Drosophila melanogaster: one gene and its partners. The gene in region 3 interacts genetically with the main gene of each other region. Each region holds a gene or a part of one and is shown on either strand. Other genes may lie near its edges. The genes, in order: robo3, Ptp52F, Ptp69D and sas.

Region 1 (6,622 bases), on a different chromosome or scaffold from region 3:
CAGGACGTTGTGAATACAACTGGAAACTGGTAATTGCTTTGCATGGAAATTGTGTGTGTAAAAACAGCAGTAGGAGTTGGCTAAAATAAATATTCGACTAGCTAATGGGTTTTATACTAAGCCAAATATTTTTGCACAGCTTTGTTGTTTCATTTATCTAATTCGCTTGTAGTTTCAACTAATGTTAGTTATTTCAACATATTGATATACTCAATAAAACTGTGAACCTCTCTTATTGAATTTTCCATAGATATGTAGAAATTTTTCCTAGTCAATTGCCACTGTGCTTGATAAACTGCCAAGTAAATACTGTATCTCTACCCGACTGGCTTTCAATTTCTCAAATATTTCTATATTTAATGGACTCCAGATTAATTCCATATTACTTTATTACTTGCCGACCGGGTCCTTCTCCCTGAAGGAATAAATACCTTCGTCCTTTCAATTAACTCGAGTCTGGCCAAATAATACCTATTCTCATGGCACCGACCCCGAAGTCGGAAAAGAGCAAAATTCGAGCAGGTCCTTCGAGTTTTTGGGCGGAAAGTCTTAAAGGCAGCCGATGGGGTTCGTTCTAGCATCTAAAATAATTTAACCCTTTTTTTCCCCTTCTTTTAAAGTAATTTAATGCCTCAGTTACGAGGGAAGCCCACACATTCCGCAGAGAGACGGCCAATTCTCTCGTCTGCCATTGATGCCGCTGGCTAAGGGGCAAGAATAGATTCGTTGCTACATGGGGAATATTCCGTGGCACTTATCAAAGGCAGCAACAATTTAGGTTAAATACTCATTAATATTCCGGTCTGCCAAACTTTTTCCTACTTCGCCGTGCGGATGGCCCTGTGTTTTTGCCCTTTGCTTTCGGTAGCCGCCAGGCACGAGGGCCAAATACAAGACAACCGATCCGAGTCCTTTCTCGAATCCCAGCCAAATAAATAAGCACACGCACATGAAGAGCCGAGCCGAGCCGAGCCAAGCACACAGGCAAAAACATACAGCAGAAATTAATTTTGCGTAGCCTACTTTCTTGGGCGAGAGACCAGGAGCAAAACAAGCGACCCAGCAATTTCCCGGGAAAATGATAATTGCCTGGTAACGCAGTCTACATAATGCATAATTTATAAATTAAGCAAACTTGGGCAAAGTTGGGAAACGAAAATTATGGCACACGACTGGGAGCCGTTTTGCGAAACTGGCATTCGAATTGGGCCAAAAGCTGTAACAGATATGGGAAAATATTGTATTTATATTTATAAATAAAGCTCGAATTAAAGGCACTTAGTGAATTGTAATCCATATTTGGGTACGCGAAAAAATCTGAAACTCCGACAGAATACAGAGGTACGATTAATTTACCCAAAAGAAGAATCTTTCGCTGAAAGTATTTAATTTTCTTTTATTGGATACACCGCACACGAGCAGAAGGCAGCCAACCCACTAAAATGCCAATATATTTTTTGTTCGAAATTTATTGCATACTTTCGAGAGTAGCGTGGGAGCGGGCGAGAGGATCTGCGCGAGCAGGACGGCGATACAAGGACACGCGTGTTGTCGGGATTTATTTATTTACTCCACCATATCCTTCATCCTGCATTGGCGGATTTTGTGCGCTGATAAAAATTTTGACATGCCAAACGAGGGGAGCAGCCGGGAAAAGAATTTCGGGGGGGGGGGGGGATAATGGAAAGCCCGAAGAGGATGTAACAACAAAATGACAGGATATTATTCAATTGAATTCGTTTACATGCATGAACTACATAATAAAAATGCCCTTAACCAAAAAAGGAGATCCAAGCGTAAAAAACGCAAATTGAACAGCGGCAACATGGCCGCACACACACATATGTACATATGTACATACATACATACTCGTATATGTGCTACCTCCGAAAAATATGAATAATCTTTTGTATCATTTGTGGCCGGGCAGAAATGCTTTTTTGTGGGCCCACATTTATATGTTTGCTTTTTGGGGCAAAGTGTGGGAAGCCCCTTGTTAAATGCGCATATTTTATGCAACAAAAACATGCCGCTTGAGCCATGCCCCTGAGTACTCACTTGTATTCAGAGCCACGACTCGAATTCATACTCATTTCGCTTAGTTAGCCAGCCCGAGGGGAATCCCCGGCTTGTTTCTCGTTTCTTGGCAGAACATTTTCCACTAATTTGTTGGGCTGAAAGCAGCGGAAATTGTTTTGCGTCTGGCACAAAAGTTTTGCTCATACGAATTCCCATTTGATGGCTACAACTTATTGGTGAGATAAGCAAGAGTTATAAATTATAGTTGGCAAAAGTTTTCGGGAGGAAGTAATCAATGCATTACGCATAAGCATGTTTGAGCGGATGGAACGATTCGGGAAATGCCTTAAGTTATCTGCCAGTTTAGGCCAATAAATGCAAATCAGGAAATATGCTAATCTGGCAACTAAAGTTTGGTAGCGATTAGGCAGGATGAGCAAGGGAATTAATTCAGAGTGTAGATTTAATGGAAATTGTGTTGCCACAATAACTCTACTACTTGGAATATTATGTGTGAAATGTTACCAAGCTTAGTTATTCAACATTTGATTTATCAATAATAACCGAATTATATTTCAGTCTATTCTTAGCTCATTTTGATTCAAAGTTTTAAGTCTTAGTAAATTGCTTTGGTGGCTTCTTCAGCTATCAGCACGGACTTTATCCATTTACTAATGCCGAGTATTTATGTATCTTTCTGGGACAAGTCTGTCTCCGGAATGCAGATTCCCAGTCAAGTCTACGTATCAATAAACCAGCATTCAGGTGAATCCAAGCCTGACAACCAACATTCTGGCAAGCCTTTGGACGAGCCATTCAACACCTGTCGGCAATCATCATAAATATGCCCGGCTCCCAAAACATCTCGGCCAAGTGAGTCGGATGAGTTAAATGCAACTCATTACGGGATCGCAGAGCTATACAAATGTCGTGCATTCACGAGCTGGCACTTCTGTCTCTGTTGAGCAATTTTCTATGGCATATTTGCAATTGCAGGCCGGCTGAATTGCACTTGAATTGCACCCGTCTCCGCCTTTCATCCACATCCATATCCACCCACTCGGAGCCCAGAACCCAGAGCTTGTGGCAGCTGCACAAACAGAGAATGCCAGGCAAACGCAGGAGAGGATAGGATGGATTGATGGACGGAAGGAAGGAAGTCCATGACCAGGATAGGTTTTTGCACCAGTTGTGTATTTTTATTCGAGCTTACCTTGTGCATGGGTCCACTTGAGCAGGAAAACGATGAATACGAAACGTAAATCCATTTTACAATTTTTTACAGTATTTCGCCTTAAGATAAACTGGCTAAAAAAGCTGAGCACGAGCACTTATTTGCCCAGCCCAACTCCTGGCACACACACACACAAATACACACCGGCACACAGACACAGGGGAGCGACTCCCGCAGGGATATAAAGATATATATATCTATTCGAGTTGCTTGATTTTTACTCGACTTCCATTCGCACACTATTCGCTACACTTCCCCTGCAGTTTAGCAGTTTACAATGTATTTTGCGGCCGCAGTACTTCCGCTTCCTTTTTGGCCAGGCCAAATTTGGCCAAAGTCTGGCCCTCGCATGTCCGTTGTGTCAATTAGCTGATTTCCGAGCAATTTCGCACTTCGTTTGTTTATGTTTGCTGCCAATCCAGTCGCCCACGAAGCTGGCCCAAACAACTGGGCACCAAAAAAGCTCGACACGCGCTCACTTTCAGCTCGATAACCGTTGGCGGCAGTAACCAAAACTCAACTGAACGGCGTCCCACGGCCAACTCGATATGGGGTTCCTTCAGATCCGGAGACCGGGAACAGTCCACAGCAATGTTCGCTGGGTGGTGAGTTCCGGCCTTCGGAGCAGCTCGGCCAGTTCGGAACTCGGGGAACTGGGGAAGTCGGAAGAGCAACATTTCGGAGTAAATTCCTGCAGGCAAATCAGCTGTTTCAGCGGGGAAAGCTCGGGAAAACGAAAAGTAATCGAATTCCGTATGATAAGGAGGTATCATCATATAAGAGGCTTTCTGTAATGTTTGTAATGCTATGTGTTTCCGTAAAGTACAATCATACTAGTAAATTTTATAACAAAATGGCAGCCTTCTAATGGTAGTTTGGTGTTTATCTTATATCAATAGGGTTTTTAAAATTTCCAAAAACAAATAAATAATATTGAAATGGCTTCTCAACATTGTAGTTTCTGGTCTCAGTCAGGTTTGTTTATCATCACAGTTGCGAGCATAAACATTTGTTGCTGAATCCTGCCGGCAAAAGTGGTGAGTCTGCGCACTGGCCGAATAAACAACATTTTCGGAGTTTCAACCGGAATTCCTTCGCTCTCTGAATGCTTACAACATTGTGAGAGAATGGTAAAATATATTCACTGAATGAGAACCAGAAAAGCAGCGAGTAAGTTTGAATATTTCGAAATAGCCGTTAAATGCCGATGCAGATAAGATATATTCCAGTTGCACAGTAATGACACTCCTAATAGATGCTGATTACAGATATCAATGTCATGATTGAAACCTATTGTTTTGCTAATATCAAAATAATTAATCATTTCAAGTATTACTTTAATTTGATAGCTTTCATATCCTTCTACATATTCATCAATCCCCTGACTTTATTCACATGACTTCGAGTTCTTTGTTTTCCCCCGGGGCATTAGGCACTTCAACTTGCTGCTAACCCGCATTTGAGGGCAATCTGCTGAATCGAACCAAACATCAGTGGCATAGTTAATTAGGATCTCGGGAGCCGACATCGTCTTTCACCTGCTGATTCCTGTCGTTTGCAGGCACCGCAATCAAAATTAGCTCAGTGGCTTGCGGTGGTGATGCATTTGGGTCCCCGCGCCCTAGGAGTCCCCACCACATCATTCCTTTCGCCCCCATTCTAGATCGCATAAACAACAATTAAAACGCTACAAATTGCACACACAAACATCCTTCAAAGGATGTGACCCATTCCCCGCTACCCGGCTTTTCAGTCCGGTAAGTATTCTCTTTTTGCCGTTCCCCGCTGTTTTTCTCTTTCTTCAATTATTTCCGATTATTACCAGGAGGAACTCAATGGAAAAGCAGGGGGAGGGAGGGCGAGGGATGGATGGCTGAGGTCGAGGTGGATGCTTCAAAATCCATGTTAATTGCTATTTTGCTCCCATTGGCTTTAAAAATCCTTGCAAGAAAACTAACAACCTGGGGGTCAGATTTTCCTGATTTGCCATTCATTCTACGGCCAGGACAATAACAACTCCGAGGGAATATCCTTGCTGCTCCCCTAGTACACTTTCCTCTGCTTTTACTCGTGGGAAAAGGGAGAACCGGAGAACAGACAGAATGGAAAGATGCGGGGGGAGTGGGAAATTACACTGGCGACCCAGTAAAGTAAGTTCCGAAGATAAACTGCAATCGAAGAACGTTGACTGAATGATAAATTACACTTGACAATGGACACCCACACATCCTTACACCCCCACACATCCACTCACACTCTTGCAGATGTGACGCGTGTGTGGCAGGACTCCACTGTCCAGGACTCCACTTTTCCTCCAGCTGGCCTTCTTTTGCTCGTTTGTCATAAGTTTACTTTTAATATAAAAGTTTCCTCGCTTTGGTTATGTTGAAAAGTGATCATCGTGATAATTACACGCCCATAATGATGGGGCTTGTGCACAGTGGGTCAAAAGCAACTATAAAGGACATAACATATACAAATATAAATACAAATTATGAGTTCCTTTACCAAATCATGTATAAATTAAATAATTATTTATAAATTTACCAATCTATCATAATGTCTAACTGATTGCAGCACTTATGCGCGCATTTGTTTAATTTTAAATGCATTTATTAGATGACAGATGAGCCGTCTGTCAACCCATATTTCATAAAAAGTTGAAGGCACTTTTCGCATTCCTTGGCAGCGTGGTTTTGGGCGTCAAGCTGGGTCCGTCCGTCAGGGGGCGCCACTGCCACCGTGCCCGAAGATTTATGTGCTCATGTGGTCAGAGATACGAAGGACCCCCGCCAGGACTTCTCCAGCGCCAGCTCCCCGTTTTCAGTTTCTTGAGTGCCAAGGAGCTCGAGTGTGTTTGTCAGCTGGGTGGGGGAAATGGTGGAGGGTGTTCTGGTCCAGCGAAGGGGGCGGGGTAATTATGACGGTTGTGGGTGGCAGCTGTTGTGATGCTGCTGCTCGAGAAGCGGTAGCCCAGTTCCACTCATTAAGGATATCCGTGCAGGAAAACAATGCCAAAGCCAGCACTCACCCGCACACAAAAGCCGTTACAGTGTAGCCGCAAAAGGGAGACGGCATCCAGTTTTCCCGCCGCTATCCCCCCGCTTCGCTTCGCCACCGAGTTTTCCCCGCTTTTCCCACCGCCTTTCCACTTTGCCCCTCACGTAATGCATTTAGTGGCTGCCGTTTTTGAGCTCTGGCAGCTCGCATTGTTTGCTCTTTGGCCTCGCCTCTCGCCACCCAGACAAAACAATACAAATTTATTTTGCCGCCACGCCCACAACACCCTAAAAAAGGGGCGAAAAGGGGGGAAAGCGGAAGAGATTCTTTTCAGCCAAGGCGAAGCGACGGCCCAGAACTTGAGCAGTG
Region 2 (9,613 bases), on a different chromosome or scaffold from region 3:
CCGATAGATCCTGATGCCCAGGTACGTTTCGTTCTCCACGTCCTCCTTGCGAGCGTTGAATTTCTTGCCCTTGTATATGTATTCCCCACACGTTTTGCAGCGCATATTAAATGGAGCCATCAATCTCACGGTGTACTGCCGGTTTTTGGCCAGTTTCATGCGCGGAATCTTCGATGGATCGAAGTCCGGGGGATAGTATTTCTGCAGAGGAGTCGGTCAGGTGGCGATCTATTAGCTTAAGATGTATTTACTTACGTTTAAGACCTTTCGCTCGGACATTTTGAAGACTACGATTTATTTCTTACTAAAATAAATACAATTTATTTATCTGCCTAACAGTGCTGTAAAATGTGTGCAGTAAACAGTGCTCAAAGGCGTAATCCGCCGTTGTGAAAATATAGTTGTCTCGCTCCTACCTTTTTTTGTAATTGCATTTACCGCCAAATTTGAATTTAATAAAAACTCTTATAAACTGTTATACACGATACCTCTTTTTGTAAATTCTTTGCTCATTGCCCAATTTAATAAATAAGTTCAATAACTTATAGTTTTCTGCTATACATGCGCTTCTTTATAAATAACATTTATGTACAAAAACAGTTTTTCAAATGCAATTACCAAATTTATATCCACACTTTCCACTTAATATACAATTTAGATACATATTTCTTTGGCTATTATTGCTGCTGCGTTGTCAACACATCGTTAATACAAAAGTTACAAGAACACAGCTCATCTCACATATTGCTGCTGCTAGTTGGGTTATCGTTTTCGCCCGGTGGACTATTCCTCCGCAGTCCGGAGAACCTAGAAGGCAGCTGCACGATGGGCCTACCGTCATCCAAATCGGTGATCGGTGCGGATGACACATACTCACTGCCCACATCCACGTCCGGAAAGCTCACCTTTTTGGGAGAGGGAATGGCGGGCACGGTCACGGACTTGGGACGCCCATCCATTTTCAACGCAGCTCTGGGTATCTTATGCTTGACCAGCTCATAGGTGCAGGCGTAGAGGAATGTGTACTGCTGCTGCGTTTGCACCATTTTCATGCGCTGAAGTAGTGGAGAAGTAATGAGATAAATCCACAATGGCACTGAAAAAAAAACCCACCTGGAATCGCAGCTTTTTGACCGTTTCGAAAATGTTGATTTTCGACTCGCTCTTCAATCGCTGCATGATCAGATCCAGGCCAATAAACGTGCCCGTCCTGCCCACTCCCGCACTGCAATGGACGACAATGGGCGAGTAACTGGGTCGCTTCTCCGCCTTCACCTTCTTCACAAACATAATCAAATGCATGGGATCCTCGGGCACGCCGTGATCGGGCCACTTTTTGAAATAGTAGTGGATCACCTTCTCCTTCAGTCCGTACTTGTCGTGCACAACAGTCAACTCAGTTCGATCGTACAGCTCCAGAACCTCCTTGGACTTGATAGTCACAGTCAATCCACGCACATTATACGGATAGTACTCGTGACACTTGATCTGTTGACAAGACAAAGAAGGCTTAGCTTCCATCTCAAGGACCTAATCATGTACCTACCGTATTGCCCTCGCGAAACTGGGTAACTTGAACAATAACCCGCACGTTGTACTGCAGGATCATGCGCCAAAAGTCCATCACACTCTCTGGTTTTGGTCCCTGGGTGGCTATGTACTCCTTCTTACGCGTGTGACCCTGTGAAGTGGATGCACTTAAGATGATCTTCCTTAAGGATTAGCTATAACAACTACTTACATCTATGAAGGAGGCATTGATGTAGTCCGATCCCTCCGCATCGATGTCCAGAATCACGCGATTCTTGTCATCTATTAAATGGGAAAAAATGTGGTTTCCCATAATGGTTATTGCTACATTGAAGTTACTCACAAGGAAATATGTCCGCATAGCGATTCTTGTGGCAACCCAATTCGGAGGCGGAATAGCTGAGCTCCAAGGCCACAACGGTGATCTCCTTGAACTCCCTGGCCAGTTTCTCCGGCTTGGCAACTTCGGTATAAAAGATGGCAAAGTTCTTGGCAATGACATTGCCAAATGGATCCTCGATACCCTGACCAGAATCACGTTTCCTGCACCAAACGAAGTTAAGTTCTTTTTTCTCTCGTGAAGATTGCCATCGTTGACTTACCAGGCCAATCGCTTGCGCACCCAGAGAACCGTCAAACCAAGTACGAAGGCCAGCAGCAGGCAACTGCAAACGCTCACCAGGATCAGGGTCACCTTGATGGCCGCCTTGGTCTTAAAGTTGAGTACGGCGGCATCGCTATAACCAGATGCGGTGAACAGTCTCACCACAACATTGTAATCCGTGTCTGGTAACAAAGGTCCATTGCAATACGTTTTCTGAACCTCCGAACACTTGTCCAATCCGATGGTAAAAACAATTTCCTCATCGGATGTCACCTCTCCATCCCTTCGCTGACGTTGAACGGGTTCGGGATGCCAGCGCTCCTCGGTGGTTTGGTACTCCAGACTGCAGTCACCTGTGCCATCTGCGCCGGCCTCTTGATAGGATAGAACCTTTGGCCAATCGCTGCTGACATCGTATTTGAGGTGTGGAACTCCAGCACAGTTCTTTTGCGAGATCATCAGTGCCATCCACTTGATGTCGCCGGATGCGGATGTCATGATGTCGGCTGGAAGGCGAACAATGGCCGTTTTCGTTGGATTAGATGTCTCCTCGACATTGGCGCGCATTTGCTTGATAAGCTCATCACTCGGAATGGTGGGCACTGAAAGAGAAGATACACGAATGGGAATCAATGGATTACGGATTACTTTTCCGTTATTTCGATACTTACGTCCCGCTGGCGATTGCCAGCTACCCGGTACACTGCTGCTCAACTGTTCCACATCGCGATTCTTTACGGACACCTCAACCGTATAGTCGAACTGTGGCTGCATTTCCGTTTCCGTGTAGGACATCCGTCCCTGCTTATTCCCCGTGTCCAGTTCCACCCGCCGTTCAAATGAAACTGGAGCGAAGTTATTTCGTGTGCCATTGAAAGCCAGCTGGAAATACTCGATATCGCCATTGGACTTGCAGGGCACCTTCCACGTGATAGTCACGTTCGCTTCGTACACGGCGTTATTGTTCACCGGACCCTGGGTTAGTACGGTCAACTGGGTCACGCTATCGGATACTACAAGATACGAAATATTTACATTACTCATATTACTCATATAAAGATATTCCATCTATTCATCTTAACTCACCTGCTGGCAAAGTGATACCAATTACGGGTTCTGTATAGACGCCCATTCCGAAGTCATTTTGTGCCGCAACTTGCATCATGTATCGCACAGCTGGAGCCAGACCCGTGAAGTTTACACTAGGATCACCCTTGGTCTCCGACTTGGTGTCCTGCTCGACTATCGCGCAATCCGCGGGCACAAAGTAGCTGGCCTCGTGACGCATCAGGAATGCCTGGTAGTACTTGATGGGTCCGTTTGTGTAGGTGGGCGGTTGCCAGTTGAACAGCAGGCTGCTGACAGTGCTCTTCTCCAGCATCACACTCTCCGGCTGCTCGGGAACTGAAAACACAGATCAACTTACATATGAACTTCATATATACATATGTATATAATGTAGGTCTTACAGTAGGTTGTGGTGTGCATATCAGCATCGACAACTGGTTCGGAAGGTCCTGCCACATTGTAGAGTATTACTTTGCAAACGTAGGTGGCGTAGGGGGAAAGTGGACTTAGACTGGCATTAAAACCTGAGAATGGAATATGAATTAGAATAGCCATCTGGATACCGAATGACTGGATGACCAGTACACCCACCTTGTTTGCTATGTCCCTCCACATAACGCTCCGCGTATGGATTTCGCACCTGGGTGGTGGCATTGCACGTGAAGAGCGCAAAGATCGTCGGACAGGAATTGTTGTAGTCCGCATTGAAGGCGATTAAATCAATAAATTCGGAGCCAGCATTCTTCATTTCCAGCTTGACCTTCAATAAAATGCTTGCAGTCAGTAAGAAATGGTCAAATGGATACGAAATATACGTAAAATAGTCCTTAGTACCTTAGTGTAATCAACTATAGCTGCTTTGGTCTCCACACCAACCTGTCTCAGCTGACCATCGAGGTTCTCCTTGGTGTATGGGATTATCTGAATGATGTACACCTGACAGGCCAGCAGATTCTTGTCGAAAACAACCGTCGTATTCTGGGTGGTAATACTAAGTGCTTCAACCTCAACCAGCTTATCGTCCTCCATCCAGCCGGACAATCGGTAGCCATCGATGCAGAGATCGGCGTACTCGGGCGTCTTCCAGCTCACCTCCATCGAGTAGGCTTCTGCTTCCACGACGGGATCTTGAATCACAGATGGCTCTACAAGAAGATAATCATAGTAGATAGATAGATGTTGGATGAGTTGAAGCGCACTTGCACTCACGATCCTCGCCCACGGTGCTCTGCTCCTGGTACTTGGTGCCAGCGCTTCCATTTAGCTGATTGGGCACAATCTCCACCAAATATATTCCACACGGATCAAGGTCGTCGAAGATAGCGAATGTCTCCTCTGTGATCACATTCATAGTTTTGTTTTCCGATCGTTGAATGGGTCCGGTCAGCGTTACACTATAGTTAGCCACACATTTGGGATGATTTTGTGGAGAGAACCAAGTCCAATGCAACTGGGTGGGATAGGCGGTGGGACTGGGTTCATAGACGGCACTGACCACTAAACATTTGAATTATGGTGATTTATGGTTTACTTGGATAGCTGGTCTATCTAGTTGCACTCACACTTTTCTGCCGAAGTAAAAGTCTGAGAAGCCTTGGCCGTGCTGTTCTCGTTGATGAAAACCTGAAAGGTGTACAAATCACATCCTTGAAGATCGGTCAGGAGGTACTCCCTCAGCTTGCCATCGGAGGAGACATCGGTCCACTCGCACTTAACTGATGGGAAGAATAAAACACATATGTATTTCAAAAGAGGTTATAAGAGGAACCTAGAGTCTACCTTCATCACTGGGCGTATCGGGTGTGGTCTCCATTGGTGTGGTGGTAACGTAGTCAATCTCGTTCGTAGTTTCCGTACTGGGCACATCCGTGGTGGTATCCTGATTTTGATCCGTTCCGCAATCGTTGCGTTGCCACTTGAAGACATAGTTACTGATGCAGTTCTTCTCGGAGGGATCTCCCCACGTGATCATCGTGATGCCACTGGCTAGGTTCGTTACGTTCATGACGAGATCGCCGGGCTCCGCGTACTGTGTGTCCACATCGGTGGCATCCGTGTCCACCACAACGCTAGCGTTGTTTCGCGTGTCCAGGGTGATCGTGTGCGTTAGGCAGGCGCTTAAATTCACGAAAGTCTGAGAACTTTTATCGTTTAGCAGCTGAAAGGATTTGGTGTAGTCCGTCGCCTTTGCCGTGATGCCAAAGGACTCCACACAGGCGCGGTCGTTCGTCTGCCAGGTCACTTTGATGGTGTTCGCTGTGGCCACCACTGAGGTCACTGTGGTCTTGGGCTCTGCGATTAAAGATGATATGGTTTATGGTTTTCATAGTTAGCATTTTTATATAAACATACGCTTATATTCAGTGTAGGCATAGATGGTTTGGTCAGAAGGCGGTGGTTTGCCGGAGACATTCGAACGGAATGAAACCACCGATGTGTAGAAGGTGCAAGGATTAAGGTTTTCACTGGAAATCATAGGCATTATGTTAGTCCGCGATATCATTTCACTCAAAACATTCTACGAACCAAACGTGCGCTGCGTTGGCCTCGGTTTCCGATCCGGATCCATTGCGACAGATCACCTTATCGATGGAGTAGTCCGCCTCGTTGGAGATGCTAAAGCCGAGTGTGTAGACCGTAGAAACCACAGTCACCTCCACCTCTGGAATATTGGTAATACATATAGCTTTTTATAGGCTAAAACAAAACTGGATGCACTTAGGATTTGAAAAGTATCTTATATCAGTGTATCTTATATTAATATCATATTATCAGTGACATCCATATGCTTATTTTTCAAAGAGTAATACTTACTCTCCGCCAGTTCCTGGCTCTCACTCACTGCCACCAGGGAACCAACGGTTTGTCCTTGCACCCCAGCGATCCAAAGGATAAGGATTAGTGCGTGAATCCTTCGATGCGATTGCTTCCAATTTGTGGCTTCCATCTTAGGGCCTCATTGCTTCTGCTGCTTTTTGCGGTGAGTAATGATGCGTTATTAATTATTAATAACAAATTGTTATCGGCGGGGAGCTAATGCAACCGGTTCCTGCGCGGGATTTTCCGCGAAGCATTAACCTCGCCCAATTGCAAAGCACTTGGCTCGCATGCACACTGTTCATTTGTTTATAAACACAAAACACAACAAATAAGAGTTCACTGGACGTGGGCAAACGAAAGGTGATTGGTCATAAACAATTAGTGGCCGCCGAACTTTTGCATATCTCGCGATGTGGGAAACGATTCTGGATCTCCCCGAGTTGCTGACCAGCGCAACAAAAATTAAATGTAATACATACAACTTCCAGCGAGCGATTTATGATCATTTCACAAATACCACACGTAAGTGGAAAATGTAAAAAAATAAACGAAATGGTCGAGATACCAAAAAAAAAAAATAAAAAGGGGGTTATCTCAATGTCGTGGCTTACACCCAAAGCCTTTTAATGCGGCGGAAATTCATGAGAATGAAGTTGGAAACTCCAGCAATGTCATGTCGCAATATTCTCTGAATTTTTTGTTGGATTTTTTGGATCCCTAGAATCTTATCAAGCCACTTCACAGGCTGGAGAAGTGGCCAGCAGATATAGATACAGATAGTAATCTGGCTTGTTGGACAACCCAATAATAATCGAACAAAATTAACGACAGATTCGCTAAAATCGCAGAGAATCGCCGACGACGATCCTCGAATTCGAATCGCGGCTCTGTTTGCAATCCCATCACGCAGTCGCAAATGGAATGGGTATAGCAATAGATATATAGATATAGATATATAGACTATATTGCCGATATGCTGAGTGCGTCATCGAAGAGCTTGCTAATCGAAAGAATTCCGTACCCTCAAATTGGCAGCACTAATTACTAATTTCAGTTGTCGCTGCCGGCAACGGAAGCAAGCGAAGAAGACAGCTCTTCTTTGGAGCAAATAAAAAAAATGACACTTTCCGATCATTATTAATGGGTTTGGTTATCAGAAAGTGTGGCAATGGAACGTTGACAATTTGCCAATGTCTGTGCCCGATTGTTTAAACAAATCGCAGCGCGCCGAGGTTTTCCAAAACACCAAGTAAGCCAATAATAACAATTTAACGTTTACAAACGAACAAGCGGCCTTTATCATCGGCATATAATCATCAGAGTTGTCGGTCTGATAACAGCCATACGGTGCTGGCTCATAAATGGCTTTCGATTTCGCCAGTTAAACGCTAATGTGGCCAAGAGGATCGGCTACCGCAGGATTAGCAAGCATTGCTAAACTGAATCATATTTAACATATATCTATAGAGCCATAGAATTGGCTGATATAGCGGCTATATCGATATAATGTAATGCGTACAAAATGGCTGATTAAATCTCAAACACTGATAACACACAACGAGTGCCCAAATTTGGCAAATGATTTACATTATTCGGCAATTTTCCCAATGAGCGATTGAGATTGTGTACGATACGCTGCACTCACAGGTGACAGATGGTTGCTAATTGTTGTTGCTGTTTCGCGAATATTTGGGCGCACCAACTATGAATAACGAATGTGTGTGTGTCGCCCGAAAATCAGTAAACTAATAACCGTTTCCGCTGAGCGATTCTCGAATACTGAGCGCCAAAGGGAGCACTCCATAAATCGGTTGTGTTGTGTTCTGGCGCTGTGTGAGCGGTGATAAGGAAAGTTTACTCCCATCGCGAATGTGTGTGTAAGATAACAACAAAGTCGGTTTACAATTAGCAAACTGCAGTGTTGACTATCGAATTGGGATGTGTTATAAATAAATAGCAATACTTATATGGCATAAATAATTGGAAACCCATTTTGTTCACTCACGGATAGGCGTTGTGGTTCCGCAAAAAAAAAGCTGACGAAGGTCCATTTCCTTATCAGCATTTTAAATAGCGCGCCAATTTTTTAAGCTGTTCACACTGCGCTTGCATGGAAGTAGGGCTTAAGTTATGGCAACTCGTTCTTTACTCAATGGTTTCAGTCCTTAGGTCTTATATAAGATATAAAAAGTATTTAGAAGTTATTATACATATTTTTATTAACATTTTTCTACATTCCTAGTCACATCGATAGCTAATCGCTGTCATCGATAGTCCCGTGATGTTTTTTGAGCTGCTTCCACTGCGGTCACACTAATCGAAGCATTTTCGTCCGCTCGTCACTTTTCTGCGTAATTCTTTTCGTATATTTCGATTAAACATAAATAAATAAGCGTAATTATAAATATATGAAATACTAAATTGTTGTAAGTAACGTTCGCTGCATAATAAGAACAAACACCGAGTCGCCGCGTTGTAAATAGAACACCCAAGCAAAATGGATTTTTCGCAACCAACCCGTGTAATGGGCTATTGGGAGAAATGAAGAAAAAAAAACGTCATATGTACAAAACTGCCAATGGCAAAGTGTTAGTTCGCGCATTATGTACCAAGCATGTCGGTTGGAGTCGGAAAATATAATATACTATATGTGCGCTTGGATATTTGTCCTTTTTCCCCATTATGCATATTGCCTTTGGGACATTTCTTTCTCTTGGCCCCCTCTCTCTATCCAAGATGGCCGTCGTAACAGTATTTTCGTTCAAACTGTTGTTGTTATTGTGTTTGTTATTGAAAAGAGAATGAAAAAACAAGCGAAAGAGTTATGCAAATTATGCACAAAAAAAGTAGTGTGTTGAACAAAAAGACGATCAGTAAATAAGTGGAGAAACGAACTATGATTACATTTTATTTACAACCACCAGAAAGCGATGACACATCGAGTGCGTTGGTGTGCGTGCGCGAGTGTGTGTGTGTGTGCGAGTGACGATGTCTGTGGATTTTCGCGCATGTTTGGAGTCCTCCCCCTCGCCAAAAGTAGAATTGATCGATTTTTAGCCAAGTCGAGTCCCCGAACTGGCCGATTCCTTGCATATATGTACTTCCCGTTCCCCCATAGGCCAACAACACCTATTACTGGGCAAACCAGTTCTGCCAATGCACAAGAAATCTCGTTTTATTTTCTTCGTTGTGCTTGTGTAGTTGTTTTTGTTTTTTTTTTACAGTTTTCCGTTTTGGGCTTTTTTGCTGCGGCATTCTTTTAGATATTCAAGACCCGTTGCGATTTCCCAGAATGTGTGGAAAGCGCTCCTGACACTGCAAATTGTTTCTATTATCTAGTGACGAGCTTTTTGCACGTTTCCAGCAGTGGGTTAAAGAAAGGCAAAGCAAAAAGTCTCGGCACTTAACGGTTAGTCCCTGCATTCGATGCCCGTCGTGGGGTTAAAGCTGGAGTTCAAAGCTTTTTTGGCTATTGTTTTCCTTTTTCCTCTCTCTTTTTGCACTTGAAATTGCAATTGCATTTGCTCGCCGGCGCGTGTGTGAGTGTGTGCTAATCAATGAAACACGCAAATAAACAAGCAAAGGCAAGTG
Region 3 (9,572 bases):
AATCTGCTTATTTTTATTTTATTAAAAATAAATTGTAGTACTTATAATTTATCAATACACATAAAGGAATACGGAAAAACGATAAATACATTTACTTAATTTTATGGATTTTTTGTCCCATATTTACAAAATGAAAAGTGTAATATTAAATACGTTCATAATGAAGTCATTTTTACAAACTGATAAGTGAAATATTCAAAACTATTATAAGAAAATTCGAAAACCATTAATCCACACAACCAAAAAGAATGTAAACCACACTTATCAAGCTCATAAAAAGTACAATTCTTATTCTCAGTTTTTATTACATTGTATCTTATAAAATATGTTACTTATTTTCCTTTGGTAGTTTTATCAATACGATACGTATACACTACATTTATATTTGTATGTATATTATGTGTCGGGCAAACGTAATTCGTTAAAAAAATTACGCTTGCTCTTGTAAATACTTTATTAAAAGATTTTATAAATATACAAATAATTTATCATAGCACATTTGATGCATTGATGTTCCAACACGTGCATTCTGTACTCGTATAAGTATATACATATCTAACTTAATCCAATGTTGACTCGGCTATGTGATGTAAGTCTGAATAATTAATTATTGCGCGATGTAGGAACTCGTATTGTGCCTAGAAACCATATAAACATCTAATTAATGCATTGACAATAAAATATAAACAAATTCACTTACGTATGAGTTGATAAGTCCCGTTCGCTGAGATCGTAATTTCCTTGTTGTGGCACAGATGTCGACACACTTCTCCAGCCTCAGATGCTGGACCAAAATACACATGGCGACGAAAATGGAACTTCGATCGGTTCCCAGGCTGCAAATAATTTATAATTGATTAATCCGTCAAGTGCATGAATCAAAGCATCGCCGCATACCTGCAATGAACTGTGAGTGGAGATCGACAACCAGAATTCTTGTTGTTCTTATAATGGTTGTATGCTTGATCTACAAGTTCTATAATGCCACGGCAGACTTCAGGAACTTCTCCGTCCACGGTGGGCCAACCATTGTATTGAAATTGTGTGACTTTCAGCGTATCGTCTATTTTGCAATTCGTAACATAAAATTCGCGGCGAGTATAGTATGGACAACTTTCGCTGTGCACGTATTTCACGAGTATGTGATCGTATTGAACCTCATCATCTGCCCAGTATCGCGGGCATTTCCTGGGACCATCTCCGATCTGCAATGCAATTAAAGCACTCAGTTGAATGGGAAACCAATAAAGTAGAGAGGGCACTACTCACTTCGGATATCATGACGAGGGTGGTAACACTCTGTTCCGAGATCATTCGCCAGAAGTCTCCTATAGTGTTTTCAAGTGGATCCTGGGCAATGATGAAGGTTTCGCTATTATCATAGCCCTCTATGAATGATGCGTTAATGTAAGTTGAGTTTTCCCGCATCGGAAGTGGTGTTAGTATAACCTTTAATTGCACAAAAACATTCACAAACATTAAACACAGTTCGCATAAAAGTTAGCCACTATTACTTACTCTGTTGCGATCGTAGGGTATAATCTCTTGACTTCTGTTCTTCATATTGTTCTCCTCGTTTTCGCCCACACTACATGATTTACTTATCTCATCTGCTGTGGCCAGTAGTTTCTGAAATAAATAGTAATAAGCAAAACGCCTGCAAGTAGATAACAAACTATACAAACCTCGAATTCCACTTCCAATTTGCATTTACCCTCGTTGGGTTTCCGCTTAAGAGATTCAATTGCAGAAGCCATTGTATCAATGCAAATATCCGTGTTTCCAAAGGTTCCAGTATCTAATAAAGCCCGGTAAAGAAAGATGTATTGTTTCTGCAAGCAAAAAGAAAGTTATTACAGCAACTACGAGTGGAATTTCCATATCTACGCACCAGAGATTGGACTAAAAAATTTCGTTGGTGTCGTAGATCACACACTGTGTTGTAAATGGACACCGAGTCTTCTTCCTCCAGCTGTTGGATTAGGGAATCTAAAGCCACCAGGGTTCCGGTTCTACCCACACCAGCACTGCAATGCACTAAAATTGGACCCCTTTGCAGGGAGTAGACGGAATTGATTTGACGTATGAATTTGATGATGCCATGTGGATGCTCTGGTGCCATGAAGTCCTTCCACGTTAGGTAGTGGTATTGGGTGATTTGTCTACGGTCCTCCTCCTCGCCGACATTGGCTTTGTTCTTGGAAACGTTCAGGGTACGTTCAATATAATCACCAGTCTTACGTTCTTGTGCAAATTTCACTAAAATATCTCCGAACTGTTTCGTATCAAATACTTTTTCTGGCCAATATTTCGCGCACTTGGCCTTGTTATATTCCTCCAAATTTGTAAGCATCACAATTATTTCTAGATGTTGTTCCCAAATCATTCGCCAAAAATCATCGATGGTACTTTCCATTGGACCCTGTGCACAGATAAACTTCTTTCTCTCCTTGTAGCCAATTACGAAGTTAGCATTGATGTAGTCCGTAGTTTGCAGGCCATTGATGACAGCCAACTTTACGCGCGTCTGATCGTAAGCCTTTATATCGGGATACCTGTTCTTGCAGGCGTTCTCCTTTAAATCACTGTTTTTAGTTGTCCGATCGCTAAAGCGATTTGGCAGCATCTCATATTCCCGCAGAAATCCGTAGTCAGTGTCCTTATGTCGGTTCTTGTAGGCGTTTTCTAAATCTAATCTGTGAATGGGGCCAGCGTCGAATCCTTTGTGATTTCCGGAAGTTATAAAATGACTGTGGTTGTGATTTCGTCGACCGAACAATGCCCTGCTTGATGTGAAGAAACAATTGAATATTAATTGAAATCACATCAAGAAGATCAAACAATTACTAGTTACCTCAAAGAATCTCTTAGTGTTAAAGTGTCTTCGCCCTGCAGTTCATTCTTGGTTTTCTTGTGATGGAAAACCCACAGCACAATAAATACAAGTATGACACCAAGTAATACGGCTCCAGCCTTGACCCCAATGCTTAGGTAGTAGTCCATATTGTTCAAGGATTGGATGGGTTCAGCTTCAGTCGCCGGAGTAATTATATCAAAGTATTTGCTATAAGCCATCAGGGCATTGTTTCGATCCCGAACTGAGGAAAATAAACATGATATTACCATTTTGCTTTCAAAAAATCAATCATTACGCACCTATTATCTCTAGGAATCCGGTGTAGTTGGAGTTAATATCTATCTCACCATCGAAGACATCTCGACTAGAATCGTGGAGTGGCACATTTGGGTTGACGGCGCTTAGAATTGGATTCTCATCGCTGGTCACCGCGTTTCTTTTATCCCTTAACTTACTTTCTAAGATTTTCAGAGCATGCTCTGTTAAGTTTGCTCCTTTGATCAAGTTGTCCTTCTCCGACAAAATGGGCAGTTCAGAATCGGAATCTAAAGAAAAGCACATTAGTTTCAAATAAAAAAAAATAAATAAAGTTTATATTAATTACTTGATAGTGAACCTTGTGGGGGTATGTGAATGATCTCGGGTTTCCTCAGAAATGGAGTACCCTCCAAGCATTTCCGACAAATTTCGTCGTTGTCGCGGATTATATCGTTGTTCTCACTAAATCTCTTTTCATCGCCCAAGAATATTTCCGGCCTAAAGTACTTGCTACTTATCATTTCCGCTATATATGCACTACTTCTAGTCACGTTATCGCTGTGAACCTCCTGATATGTGGCGATGTTTAGCTTCTCCGGGTCCGGCAATTCCTTGTTGTCATTGTTAATTCTAACTAGATACAATCTATAGCAGCATATGGGCCCATTGCGTTCGCTGATCTTCGGTAGATACAACTTGAGAACGTACTTGGAGTCCAGGTTCACCTTTGACCACATGGTACGGCCAATGGCATCCGGCGTGGAGACGGGCATTAGACAACTTCCGGTGGCCGGTTCGCCGTTCTTCTTGTGCCGCGTTATGGCAGACACCGTCACCGTGTAGTTTGTGTTCGGGCTAACACTTTCGTAGAGGGTCTTGTGATGGGGTTCATCGATTCTTCGAATCTTTGGTCCCCACATCTCTCTATCCACTGTGCTCATGGGATTGCCCAGCAAGTGAATTAAATATGACACAACCTTGCCGTTTGGCGTCTTGGGAACGTCCCAGTTAATGGCGATGGAGTTGCCTCTCGTGACGTTGTCATGATGACACTGTATGCTCAAGTTGGTGGGTTTTGTTGCCACGCCGTCCATCGTTGTGCCGTTCACGTTTTCGGACCATGGTCCACAAGTCTTGGTTAGATCACTACATGCCCTTACCCTAAATTCGTAGTCTGTGGCGGTCTTAAGCTTATCAAACATGTATGGCAAGTTTCGAGAATTCTGCTGGTAAATGGCCTCTTCGATCACTTTGGGCACCTCGCCCGATTCGGAGACAATCAGTTCGTAGTATTGTATATAATCAATGAGATCTGGCGGCGGTGGATTCCAGCCAATCGTTATCGTGGACGCCGTGCTGCCGGTGGTCTCGACTTTTGGTATAAATATGGGATCATAACTAAGCGTGGTGATTCCCTGGGGATACTGGGTGGGTTGGCCATTGCCAATCGAGTTCTTTCCCACGATTCTTAAAAAATAGGTTGTGTTCGGCTTGAAATGGTCCAGAATATACGATGTATGGCTGCCGTTAATAAAGTCCTTATGATAAGTAAAAGTCGGTGTTCCAGCCTCCTGCAGAGTGATGAAGAACTTCTGAATTGGATCGTTGCCGTCGTTAACGGTCCAATTTAGGTATATTTTATTAGCACCAACTGCCTTGGCGAAATCAATGCTAACTTGTGGCACTTCCATTACGAAAAGGGTAATCTCTTTGGAGGTAATTTCGAGTCCGGTGTCATCGAAGACGGTGCACTTGTAGGTGCCATTCTCTTTCTTGTAAACTTCTGTGAATTCCAGGGTGAAGTTTAAGTGCGTATCGTTTAGCTTCGAAATGGACGAGAAGGTGTCCAGGAATTCAAACTGGCTGCCGTCCTTAAGCCACTTGAGGTTTCTATTAGTTGTCTCATTTTGTGGGTACATCTCGATCAAACAGTACAACATGACATCCTGCTTGATTTTTCTCTTAATCCTATCGGGGGTACTTTGCAGGACTTTGGATGGAAGGTATGGCCTAACTTGGAATTCAGTCGAATGGTTTTGCCCCGTTTGGGCTGTGCATGTGTAGTTCCCCGAGTCCTTTATATTGACATCGAGAAGCGCCAGGACATTCTTATACTTGATGAAGTCTTGACTATCGTTGTTTTCACTGCCATCGTCGTTGGATTTCAATGGCTCAGTTCTTATTTTATATCTGAAAAGATCGAAAAATGATCAGATTATTATGTTATTCCATCTTTATGGGGGCAGAAATATTTTTAGATGCTTGTGCAATAAGTTACTAACCTTGTATGGTTTTTATTAATAGTTTGGTTGCCCAGCTTCCATGCTACTGCTTCGTTTTCAGATGCGCACTCTAGAGATACGTTTTTACCTATTTCTGCCCACTCTGTAAATAAATTTCATTAAAATAATTATCAGTTTTGTATATAGACGTAATTATAGAAATTACACCGATCTAGTAGCAACATGCTTCTGTCAGCCTAAAAATATGTTAGACTTAAAATATATCTTCCTGATTAATGGTTGTGTATATTTAAATCTGATTATAGCTTCCGGGTTTTATGCGATTTAGTAAAATATTCAAATTAGAACTATATTGAAGGAAAATTTCTTATTTAACTTTCCTATTAAATTTTAAGTTTTATGATGGACACCAAGAAAGGTTTTTCTGGATGGGCGGTAAAAGCCAGACATAAAAATGAAACTACACCCACAATATTGGCCATAAAACTCGCGGTAGTAATCCGGCGTAATTTCGGAATCAACACGTATTTAGCTGAAGAAATATTACAAATATATATATATGTGATTATATTTCAGATAAATCAGATAGATGTACATAAGTATGTACGCAGAAACATAAAACGTATGTATGTACCGGGAAGTGTGTACATATGTATGCGCGACTACTTTTGTTTAGCCCCAATTGAAATCTCACCCCATCGCCGTAATCTTTGGGCGTTACCGACATAGTTCGAGTGCTACTGTATCTAAGAACTATACAACCGTCTTGTTAACCACCATATCAAATGATAATTCCAGTTTCCAACTTAATGTAAAACACTCCATTCACATTTGCAAAAACAACACAAAAAAAAAATGAGACATTGCAATTTGTTGACACCCACAAACGGTTCTTGATGTACGTATGTATGTACCAATTATGATGTTCGTCTGAGTTTTTGAAACATTACCTTGTTTCACAGATCCTTGCACACATATCGCACAAAGGAAAATATATGCAAGAATTATATTTAATAGCATCGACATGCGTCGGTAGAGTAACGCCATGGCTTGCTAATTTCTCACTCCGAGCCGGATAAATACATATGTCAAAAATTATATTCGATGTCTGCGTTGAGTTAAAAAGCTCTACTGCGTTGAACTAATGTCGCGGCGAGTGCAAAACACCGACAAATGTGTTTTATTAAAAACCAGTTAATAGACGGCGACCGCGAATAAGTATTAATCGTTATTTTCTTAACACTGGATTGTTTTTTTTTCGCGATATGCGGCGTTATCGATAAGTCAGTCGAATATGTACCCTTGGCTGCGGTTACCAAGGGATTTGGAACAACTGAATTGGAATATAATCGTATATTATAATAATATAATCGTAATCGTATTTATTAACATGAGTAATTAATAAGACACAAGTATTTATTTATAGAGCAGTATGACATTAATTGTTACTTAATTGTTGCAAATTTATAATTTATTTCTGGAATGCATTAATTCATTTATTACTTCATATTCACTTTTATTACGATTCCGTTTGGTAGCCGATATATTTTACAATACCAATGAGCGTTGCTATCTTAGCACACGATACAACAGTTCACCGCAACCACCAAATTCCAAGTAAACTAGCCGGCATTGTTTGTGCGCGTTTTTTTTTGCAGAAAACCACCAAAAACACATAAAAACATGAAATTAGTAAGGTATGTTATGCGTCATTTACCTAAACTAAAACTAAACTTGTTAGCAATGCGTGCAGTATAGTTTCATTCAGTTTTTGAGTTCTGCGATTCTGCACACATGTATGCATGCAAAAGCGATGCTCCCATTTGTTGTTTTTGTACACAAAATTTAATTTAATACGAATGTTGTTTTGATCTGTTATTATAATAGTTTTCCATTATTTACTTGTATCTGGTAACAATTCTTGCACTTTAAGTAGCATTTTGCATAACTATATTCAATGCAATCAACGCTCTTAATCCAAGGCCACCAAATACAAGCTACCTTTAAATTCGTACTAATTTGCTAAAAGTAAAGGCTCTACTAAGTATATTTCATCATAAAGGCTGCTTGCATACACCTTATTGTATCTCATTTTTCAATCACCCAATAAGATATTTGTTTCTACCTATAATAGCCTTGCATCTCTGAAATGCTGCATCTTTGCAACAGGGATTTCCTTAATTTCGTTTACTAATCTTCCCGTTGATGCATTACAGATTCCTTATGAAGCTAAGTCACGAGACCGTGACCATCGAACTGAAGAACGGCACCCAGATCCACGGCACCATTACCGGCGTGGATGTGGCCATGAACACTCACCTGAAGAGCGTTCGGATGACGATCAAGAACCGGGATCCCGTCCACCTGGAGACGCTGAGCATTCGCGGCAACAACATCAGATACTTTATACTGCCGGACAGCCTGCCGCTGGAGACGCTCCTCATCGACGACACCCCGAAGTCGAAGACAAAAAAGAAGGACAGCGGCCGCGTGGGAAATCGCGGCAGGGGCAGAGGCGCCCGCGGACGAGGTGGTCCACGGGGTCGCGGAAGGGGCCGAGCTTCAGGCCGACGTTAATCTTTGTAACAGCTACATCTAATAAACAATATTCGATAAATATAGAATATAAATATTCTTTGGATAAATCCACACTGTATGCATTTACTATGTACGAACAACTGACAAATGTCTTCAGCTAGTAAAGAAACTCCATCTGAATATGTATATTGTTAAAAATCACTCTGTGTAGTAGCTCAGGAAAAATGTGTTTACTTGGCAACAAATTGAAAGAAGACTCCCGCCATTAAATTATGATTAAAAATGTTTGAAAGTTTGTAAAAACGCTTTTTTATACTTTTAATTGTTTTTGGACGCACAAAATGTCTTTCAAATGTTCAACAATAGTAGGAGAAAACTGTGTTACTTAAGCTAGGCTATAGATTCAAATATATTTACTACTGCCATTAGGATGCGTGGTGAACAATGAAACAAACGACAATGTTAAACCCATGAAATGGGCATCGCCTTAAAACTGGTTAACTTAAGAGATTCTACTTTAAGTAACGGATTGGAAAACATATCAAAAGAAACAATAGATATAGGGATAATGGAGTAACCCTCACTTTAAAACCCATTATTAAGGACAAAAAAATATAAGTGATTTGTTTAAGTTTTCAAAGGCAGGTTGAACCGGTTCCGATAATATATCGAAATGTCAAATTGTGGAACTTGCTCCGATCAATTATCGCTATTCGGGTTCGGATACCCGCTAAAAGTAAGGCGCCAATTTTAAATCTTAAAATTTAAATTAGGAATGTCTTTTGATAACACAATTTTTTATTTTATATTTTTAACTCAAGTTCACAATTGCTCAAGCTTCACAGCTCTATTGCTTTCCTTTGAAGTCTGGTCAGAGCCGGGAATTTGTATATATTTGTTCGTTTATGGTTTAATTGAGAATGTGATTTTGGCTGCAGCTGTTGTTGCTTTGCTTTGCATACTAAGTTTGTTTGTTTAATAATCGTGCACCATATATATACATATATATATACACTTGACGGTTATTGGATCTCTGCAGTGTTAGGATTGTTAAAAGTCGTAACTTATCGTAATTTATGCTTTTGATGAACATCATTTGAGGGATAACATACAACTATGACACAGGTAAATATTTAAAAATTAAAATTTTTTTCCACAATGTTATATTTTCGGTTACCTTAGTGCCTATATAATTGCTTTGTTTGCATTCAATCTGACTCAATTACCTTTTCTGTATCTTTTTCTGCAACCGTTTATTTGATATCAATATATTAACTTTAGCCATTCCTTTTGAGCTTAGTGCTTCGGTTTTACCATTTTGATTTCTCTATTTGTTACCATTTATTCAACAATAATACAGCTACATTCGATTTGCATTCAAGCAGAAATGCAAAATGTTTGTGATGAAAGGATATCGAGTTTGTATGATGGATGTAGTAAGTCATGAAATCACGATAATCTAATTAAATCCATTAGCAGATATTCAGTCACCCTCGAAAAAGGGTTGAAAGTACTCGGCTGTAAGTTTACACCCTGCACAAATAAGGGTTAAAAAAATAAGGGGAAATTATTTGAAAGTATCTTCGGGCGATTAAATACATTTAAATTACGTTTAAATACATTTTATGTATTTTACTTATGTTTTGTTATGTTTATGTATTGCTAATGCTTAATGA
Region 4 (6,511 bases), on a different chromosome or scaffold from region 3:
GATAGTCGTGCCAGAAATATGTAAATTTCACTATGCTATGAATTGAAAAAATAATAATAACAAACAATCAACAAGTCCATAAAACAGCAGGTCACTCAGCACTTTTCAATTTTATTTATTGTTATTTTTTGCCCGCCGTACATTTTCCCTTGAAGAAAGTGAGCCGCAGACAAGTTGGCCTGTTGATTGAAGTCGTTATTGAATTTTGTAAATTTCGTGATACGTATTATTTTTTAAGAGACCTCGTGCAAACCTATAAATATATTTATTTATTTTTGGCAAGCCATTTCGAGTGCAGTCCCTGACTTGCAATGCCAACGCATTGAAAATTGCTCAATAGGATTTTTTTTCTGCATTTTTAAATTTCTGCCCGCGCTCTATCAAGGCCATAATTTAGCACCCAAAACAGACCGCAAAACTGAAAATTAACATAAATGATTTATGTACTCGACTTTCAAGTACAACTGCAGCCAGTTGTGGTATACAATTTTCCAACTCATTAGTATTACTTTGCTGATTTTTTCCTCAGATTGAAAACAATTTGCTGCAAATTTGCAAAATGTTTTATTTGGATTGTGGTTAATCCAAAAACGGGTCGATAATAGCATAATATCCCCAAAAAGACATGCATTACAAAACACGAAATTTGTATTAAAAATGAAAATGAATATTGTGCACTTACTTTCATGATTTCGTTAAAATCTAGTCTAGCTTTATTTCTATATTTATTGCTTCGGTAACTGTAATTATAACACGAAACCAGTTTATCAACTGTCTAAAGTCTTGCCCAATAATTGATTTGCTAATACATATGTGCTTGTTTTAATTATAAAATCCAAATCCTCAATCCACTAGCTACCCACTCAACGCCTGGCAAAATAAGAGTTTGCATCACTTGAAATACCCATTTTAAAATGTAATCAGGTGCGGTTTCTTCTCCAAGTTTGTAGGTGTTTCATTTATCACATCTGTCAATGACTAATTGCTATTTATCTCTCTTAGCTAATTTCCTGGGCACATACTTATATAATTAGCCCCCGCGAAAAGACATTCCGTGTTTCTGTACAAAGTTAACACCCAAAATTTAACAAAGTTAACTCCAAGATTATGGTACGGACTACGTAGGTTAAGGGCATGAGTCATGACAGTTGGCTGCTTTGCATTTAAATTGAGTAATTTGTGAAGGCTTACCTTACCACCATCCCAATGTTTGCTGTTAAATCTCATTAACTTCCCGTGGCATTTAGACCGGCTAAAAAAGGCCAGTCCCTTTTAAACAATGCATTCCCACTTGCCATGGCAACAACCTATGCTCAATCGATCTAGACCTGTGTGTGGCCTGCTAGACCTCGTTTTATCGAGTCATCAATGAATCTAGATGGAATAGTATCAAAACAATGAAAAACCAATTGAAGTTTTTACGACGGAGTGCTTGCCTCGTGAAGAGTTTGGTGTGCAACTGACATTAAGCCCAAACAACCTTCTAGATAATTATAAATCTGTTACAGCCAAGAACTCGGCAATGGAATTGCCCGATTAATCTATTTTGCAAAAGGTACGTGTGTGAAAGTTAATCATTCCATCTCAGGTGATCTGGTTAAACGAATTTCTCCAGTTATCCTAATAACCTAAATGTGAATGTGTTCATTCAACAGAATTACAAAAAAAAAAAAAAAAATCTAATCTGATTTATTATTTTTTATTTTATATTAAGTATCAATTGTATCGAAATAGAAGTATAATTCAATTTATCTTGAGTATCTTGGGTGTAGTACGAGTAGAATATATTAAGATTTAATTAAGTTCATTCACTTGTTCTAGCACGAATAATAATTTCTCGTATAATTGGTTTCCGAGATTGAGCTTGAGGGCCGGAAATTTTAATATTTTCCCTTTAATATGCCGCGTAATTAACTAAGTAATTCAACAGGAAACCGCTTATGTATATCTTCAAATATTCTTCCATCCATTAATAGTCAAACAATTTCTCTTGTTCGCTCCATTTAACCGAATCGGAAAATAATTATGGAGAAATGCCGTACAAATCGAAACGAAATGGGTAAAAAAAAGGGCGGACCAGAAGTCACGCACCGGCACGGCGTTAATTGGTGGCTCAGAGAACGAGATTTGATTACGGCGCAGAGAGCACAGCGCGGCTAGGCGGGATTAAAGTGTCTGGCCGGAGATCGGGATGAGATGCCCCAGCTATGCGAGCGTCGTCGCGTAGATGCCGTCTATCTATAATTTTCATGGCTTTCGGCTTGGACTCACCAGTTTCGGTCGCATTGGATTTGTTGGCCGCCTCAGTTGTTGTCGTCGTGGAAGTCGTTGAACCATCCGCCGCCTCGGTGGTTATGCTGCTGATGCTGCTGCTTTGTTCTGCGGCAGTTGTGGCTGGAGTGGTGGTGGCTGCAACGGCGTCTGGGGCATCTGTTGTGGTATCCAAAGGTGGCATCGTTGTGGCCGCTGCGTCTTCGCCTGCGGGCGCAGACGCCGCACGCTCAATTTGAATGCCAAGCAAAAGTAATCCGCAGAGAGTGGCCAGGCACATTCTACTCCACTTGATCGTGGATTGGCCGCCGGAGGCTTTTCTTCTTCTACACGTTTGCATTTTGGTTTATGTTTGTGCTCCGTCTTTTTGGCTTTTCCTCTTTGATTTTTCTCACACGTTTGCACTTGTTATTGTTAATTTATAGTAATCTGCTATAAATATGGAATTAAATAAATTACATGCACTTTTAAACGTTTCGAAGGGTCTCGATAACTCATTACCTACTTTTGTTCACTAGTTATTATTTAGTTTTCTCTTTTGGGGTGCGGGATTTTCTTATGCGGTTATTTTAGTTCACACGACATCTGTGGCAGCGGTTTCTGTTATTTGTCATTGACTCGCTTTGGTAACCCCAAATGCTGTCATTTCCGTTGAAAGTCGGTTGAATAACGATCTCTCAAGTGTCAACTCAAGTCTATATTTTGCCAGCCGATTTGTTGAGTGATTTGTTAGGTCGCCCTACGCGGAAATTGGAAAGTTGTTAGCTTGAAAATAGGGGTGGCTTACTCTTGACTCAATCAATCAAAAATAATATGTGAGTTAATTAAGCTACGAAATAAAAGTATTAGCTAATTTTTCCAAATACGCCGCATATCTAAAGCATTTCCTATGTCACACATTTATGTAATGACCAATTTAAGTGTGAAAGCGTAAACATCTTCGATGCCACTCACGCAAGTTCGTTTCCCAAGTCTTTTGTTTTATAAAGTTTCGCATAGTTTTGAATGTGTCCGAATTTTTGAAAACCTATGTAGATTTACGATACGTAAACCCTATTTAGCATATTTCATTTAGATTTACAACTTCTGTACCTAAGCCTAGAGCAGCTCATAAATATCTTTCATTTTTTTAAGACTACGCCGCCAGCACAATGTTTACTTCTCACCATTCAAATCAGAAACTAGGCAAATAAACCAGCTTGCCAAAAACAAAGGCTGCCAATTGGGCTCTAAAAAAAGATATACTGTTTATATGCAAGGCAGTCGATGCTCATGCAACTCGCTACAATGCAACGCCAGCAACAAAAAACCCTAGACCCAAATTGCGATAGCAAAATATTTCAACCGGTTCCAACGGCAGCAGCAGAAACTGCAACTGAAAACGGCTGCAGACCGCAGAATTTGCTGCACGCCTTTTTGGCCATATTGGTACGAAGGCAATTAGACAGCGTGCGGTTCTATTTATTCCATATCTGCTGGCAATTGTTAATATTTCTTTTGGCTAACATCTAGTGATGTCATTGTAAAAGTTGATAGCTATTTGCACTGACATTTCGCATTTCACATTTCACTCTCACTCCTTTTTTGTAGAAATGGCAAATGGCAGAAAGCAAACAGCGAACAAGCGATTCGGAGCTGGAGGGAGAAAACGTGTTTTCGGTATTTCCAATGGAATGTTTTCGGTCGTGGTTCTCTTTTCTTCTGCTGGGCCGTTTATTTCACTACCAGATCTTGTGTTTGTTTAATAAGAAAGCAAAGATTTGCATAAATCACAACCGCACACACACGCAGGCACGCTTAAAACGAAGATTAGCACCAACCCGGCGAGAAATAGGTATAGGTATTGGTATATATCTCCTCTTATCTGGCCACGTTTGTGGGCAGCGCGGTTTATATGTATATATAAATCGTTCGCAAAGTAATGCGATCGCACTCGGCCAACCGCTCCGTCTCAAGCACGACCACCAACTGATCTCTCCGGCGGCACGGATCTTGGCTGGTAGCGTTGCCAACTCACCACGGTCTGCATCTGCAGGCTGCCAACATGTAACTGGTTTGCTGTTGCTCTCCGGCCAACTCTTAGTTGGCTCTCATCTGGCTGGCTCCTTCTCGCGCGTCAGCTGAGCGCAACAGGTGAGACCGTGCACGTAATACATAATACCCATTACCATTACCCCGTGGTTGAATGCTCGCTCTCACCCACACTCAGGTGTGTCTAGGCTGTTGCTGTCTGCCAGTGTGGGTGTAGTGAGCGAAAGGCCCTCTCTAGAAGTCGTTGGATTCGAAACAAGACGACCATGATGCATACACAAGACTCAAAGACGGAGTTTTTTTTTTTCAATTTGGCAAGGCAACTGCAATAGTCGATTCCTTGACAAGTGAACTCAGCGCGATCTATTTGGACTGTCCAATTGGATGGCGAAAAACTCAATCCCATTGAAAAACCCAGGCCAAGCCGAGTTGGCATTCATCGTTCCGATTACGCCTACCTTCGGTTTCTTTCTTCCTCGACTTCTTTGTCTGACTTTTTGAAAGAGCACAAGCGTAGATTCGTATTAGCGGCCCTGCATCTCCATACTCGTAGATCCAGAGTGTTCATGAGTCAGGGATGCTTGGGGTCACAGCGGCACTAAGAGATTAATCCCATTTACAGCTTTCGTAAATATGATTAAATAAAGAAATTCTATGCTACTTCGAAAGAGTGAAATGATAAGTGATAAGGTGATACCTTATCACCCCTATTGTAGGGTACATTGAACACTCGTGAGTGATAAAAATGATTAGTATAAGGATAGCATTAGTACTATATTATATTATATTATGTGAAATAATTACTATAATCCCTAAATGTTTGGTGTTCTAATAATATTTAACCAATTACTTTGGGATAAGTAAAACTAGAGATAAGATAAGTACGCCGACGCTATTAAAACCCAAAAACTAGTCGAGGTCAAATCGGTTTCTATAGAGGAAAGTACGATATATGTATATATAACTACATAAAAGTTATTTTTACTGCGATACCCGAAATATTAAATAAAACTAGAAAGATTCATGAAATTCCAATATCTATTAGCAAACCCAAATAACCGCCATTCCGAAGGCCTTATCTGCGGAGCTGCTCCCAAATTCATAAATCCACCGATCACTGACTGATCCACCGCCATCAAATGCCATCGATGCAAATATCAATTCTCCACTTGGGATGCGAGACGCGCCCAGAAACCGTCATCACACATCAATGGCAGCAAGTTGGCCAACCGTCATTAAAAAGGAAATGTGTGTCTGAAGAACTCAAATCTAATCAAATCAAATCATATCCAACTCAACTCTCAACTCTCTGCTCGCAGACGTCAAAAAGTATCAAATGTGCACACAGTTTCTATGTTATTGGGGCTGCTCTTGTGGTTGCATACATTAACGTGCAAACATCAGAGAATAATGCAGAAATGCGCTTTTTTTGGTGTTGCACAAACACGGCCAAAGTTGCATTGTCTCCCTTTGTTTATACATACATATATTTTGTCTGGGGCTTATCGCACCGTCATTGAGAAGCCGCTAATGCTAATGCTAATAAAATACAGGCGAACATAAAAAGATAATAATAATAACAATGCAACTTCAGTTTATGCTCACAGTTTTTGAATGGAGCATTTCTCAATGTATGCAAAGGAAAAGAACGCTGCAAGAAAACGGAAACTACAAGTAGTGTCTTTTGCATAAAATGCACAACATATGAATACTAAAGCATTAGGAATTAAGAATTAAAAATTAAGAAATATAAATTAAGCAAAAGAAAAGAAGACTAGAAGTGTTGTAAAAAATTCCAAAGTTGCATACTACCAATGGGTCTTCCACTGATAGCCAATTATCTAGCTACCAAATGGCCACAGACCTAAGCACCCACTTCCTTGCATCGTTGGAATGGGACCTGGTAAACCTGATACTTGTGTGATTTGATTTACCCAATCGCATGCAATGCGATAGCGCAGACGAAGAGCAGCGAAAGTTGTTCAATAGTAATTGGCTTAATTATGAGTACAATCTACATAGAAACTCGAAATTAAATTCGAAATTAGCGAAAAGCCATATCCACATTATATAAAAACGCGAAAAATGAATTTTTCGGATGCCATTGCGAGGGGCCAAGTTTTCACAGTTCGTTTTTTCCACCTGCTGTTCGTTGGTAATGTCTTCATTCGTGGTGTTACACATCAAAAAAAGAAAAAATCTCATGATA

Evidence for each region.
Region 1: of Ptp69D (region 3) and robo3, changing one suppresses a phenotype caused by changing the other (phenotypic suppression), as found in Drosophila melanogaster (one study listed by BioGRID).
Region 2: of Ptp69D (region 3) and Ptp52F, changing one enhances a phenotype caused by changing the other (phenotypic enhancement), as found in Drosophila melanogaster (one study listed by BioGRID).
Region 4: of Ptp69D (region 3) and sas, changing one enhances a phenotype caused by changing the other (phenotypic enhancement), as found in Drosophila melanogaster (one study listed by BioGRID).

Annotation. Positions count from the first base shown.
Region 1 is NT_033779.5:1,253,556-1,260,177, reverse strand, and holds the start of robo3 (roundabout 3), read right to left. Parts: upstream 3,762-6,622; 5' UTR 3,288-3,761; coding exon 3,233-3,287; intron 1-3,232.
Region 2 is NT_033778.4:16,170,505-16,180,117, forward strand, and holds Ptp52F (protein tyrosine phosphatase 52F), read right to left. Parts: upstream 7,804-9,613; 5' UTR 7,668-7,803; intron 6,171-7,667; 5' UTR 6,150-6,170; coding exon 6,017-6,149; intron 5,865-6,016; coding exon 5,729-5,864; intron 5,668-5,728; coding exon 5,555-5,667; intron 5,495-5,554; coding exon 4,982-5,494; intron 4,918-4,981; coding exon 4,765-4,917; intron 4,700-4,764; coding exon 4,412-4,699; intron 4,348-4,411; coding exon 4,037-4,347; intron 3,963-4,036; coding exon 3,794-3,962; intron 3,727-3,793; coding exon 3,604-3,726; intron 3,539-3,603; coding exon 3,221-3,538; intron 3,148-3,220; coding exon 2,806-3,147; intron 2,737-2,805; coding exon 2,133-2,736; intron 2,074-2,132; coding exon 1,874-2,073; intron 1,813-1,873; coding exon 1,742-1,812; intron 1,682-1,741; coding exon 1,547-1,681; intron 1,489-1,546; coding exon 1,114-1,488; intron 1,056-1,113; coding exon 738-1,055; 3' UTR 608-737; downstream 1-607. Other genes in the region: CG8435 (uncharacterized protein), read right to left, coding at 1-201, 256-279.
Region 3 is NT_037436.4:12,731,986-12,741,557, reverse strand, and holds the start of Ptp69D (protein tyrosine phosphatase 69D), read right to left. Parts: upstream 6,614-9,572; 5' UTR 6,406-6,613; coding exon 6,309-6,405; intron 5,501-6,308; coding exon 5,398-5,500; intron 5,306-5,397; coding exon 3,462-5,305; intron 3,403-3,461; coding exon 3,157-3,402; intron 3,099-3,156; coding exon 2,855-3,098; intron 2,787-2,854; coding exon 1,892-2,786; intron 1,833-1,891; coding exon 1,686-1,832; intron 1,630-1,685; coding exon 1,519-1,629; intron 1,450-1,518; coding exon 1,270-1,449; intron 1,206-1,269; coding exon 898-1,205; intron 837-897; coding exon 701-836; intron 639-700; coding exon 561-638; 3' UTR 1-560. Other genes in the region: small ribonucleoprotein particle protein SmD1, read left to right, coding at 7,042-7,055, 7,575-7,935. UniProt on the Drosophila melanogaster protein: Possible cell adhesion receptor.
Region 4 is NT_033777.3:7,160,621-7,167,131, reverse strand, and holds the start of sas (stranded at second), read right to left. Parts: upstream 4,325-6,511; 5' UTR 4,092-4,324; intron 3,011-4,091; 5' UTR 2,773-3,010; intron 2,704-2,772; 5' UTR 2,612-2,703; coding exon 2,272-2,611; intron 1-2,271.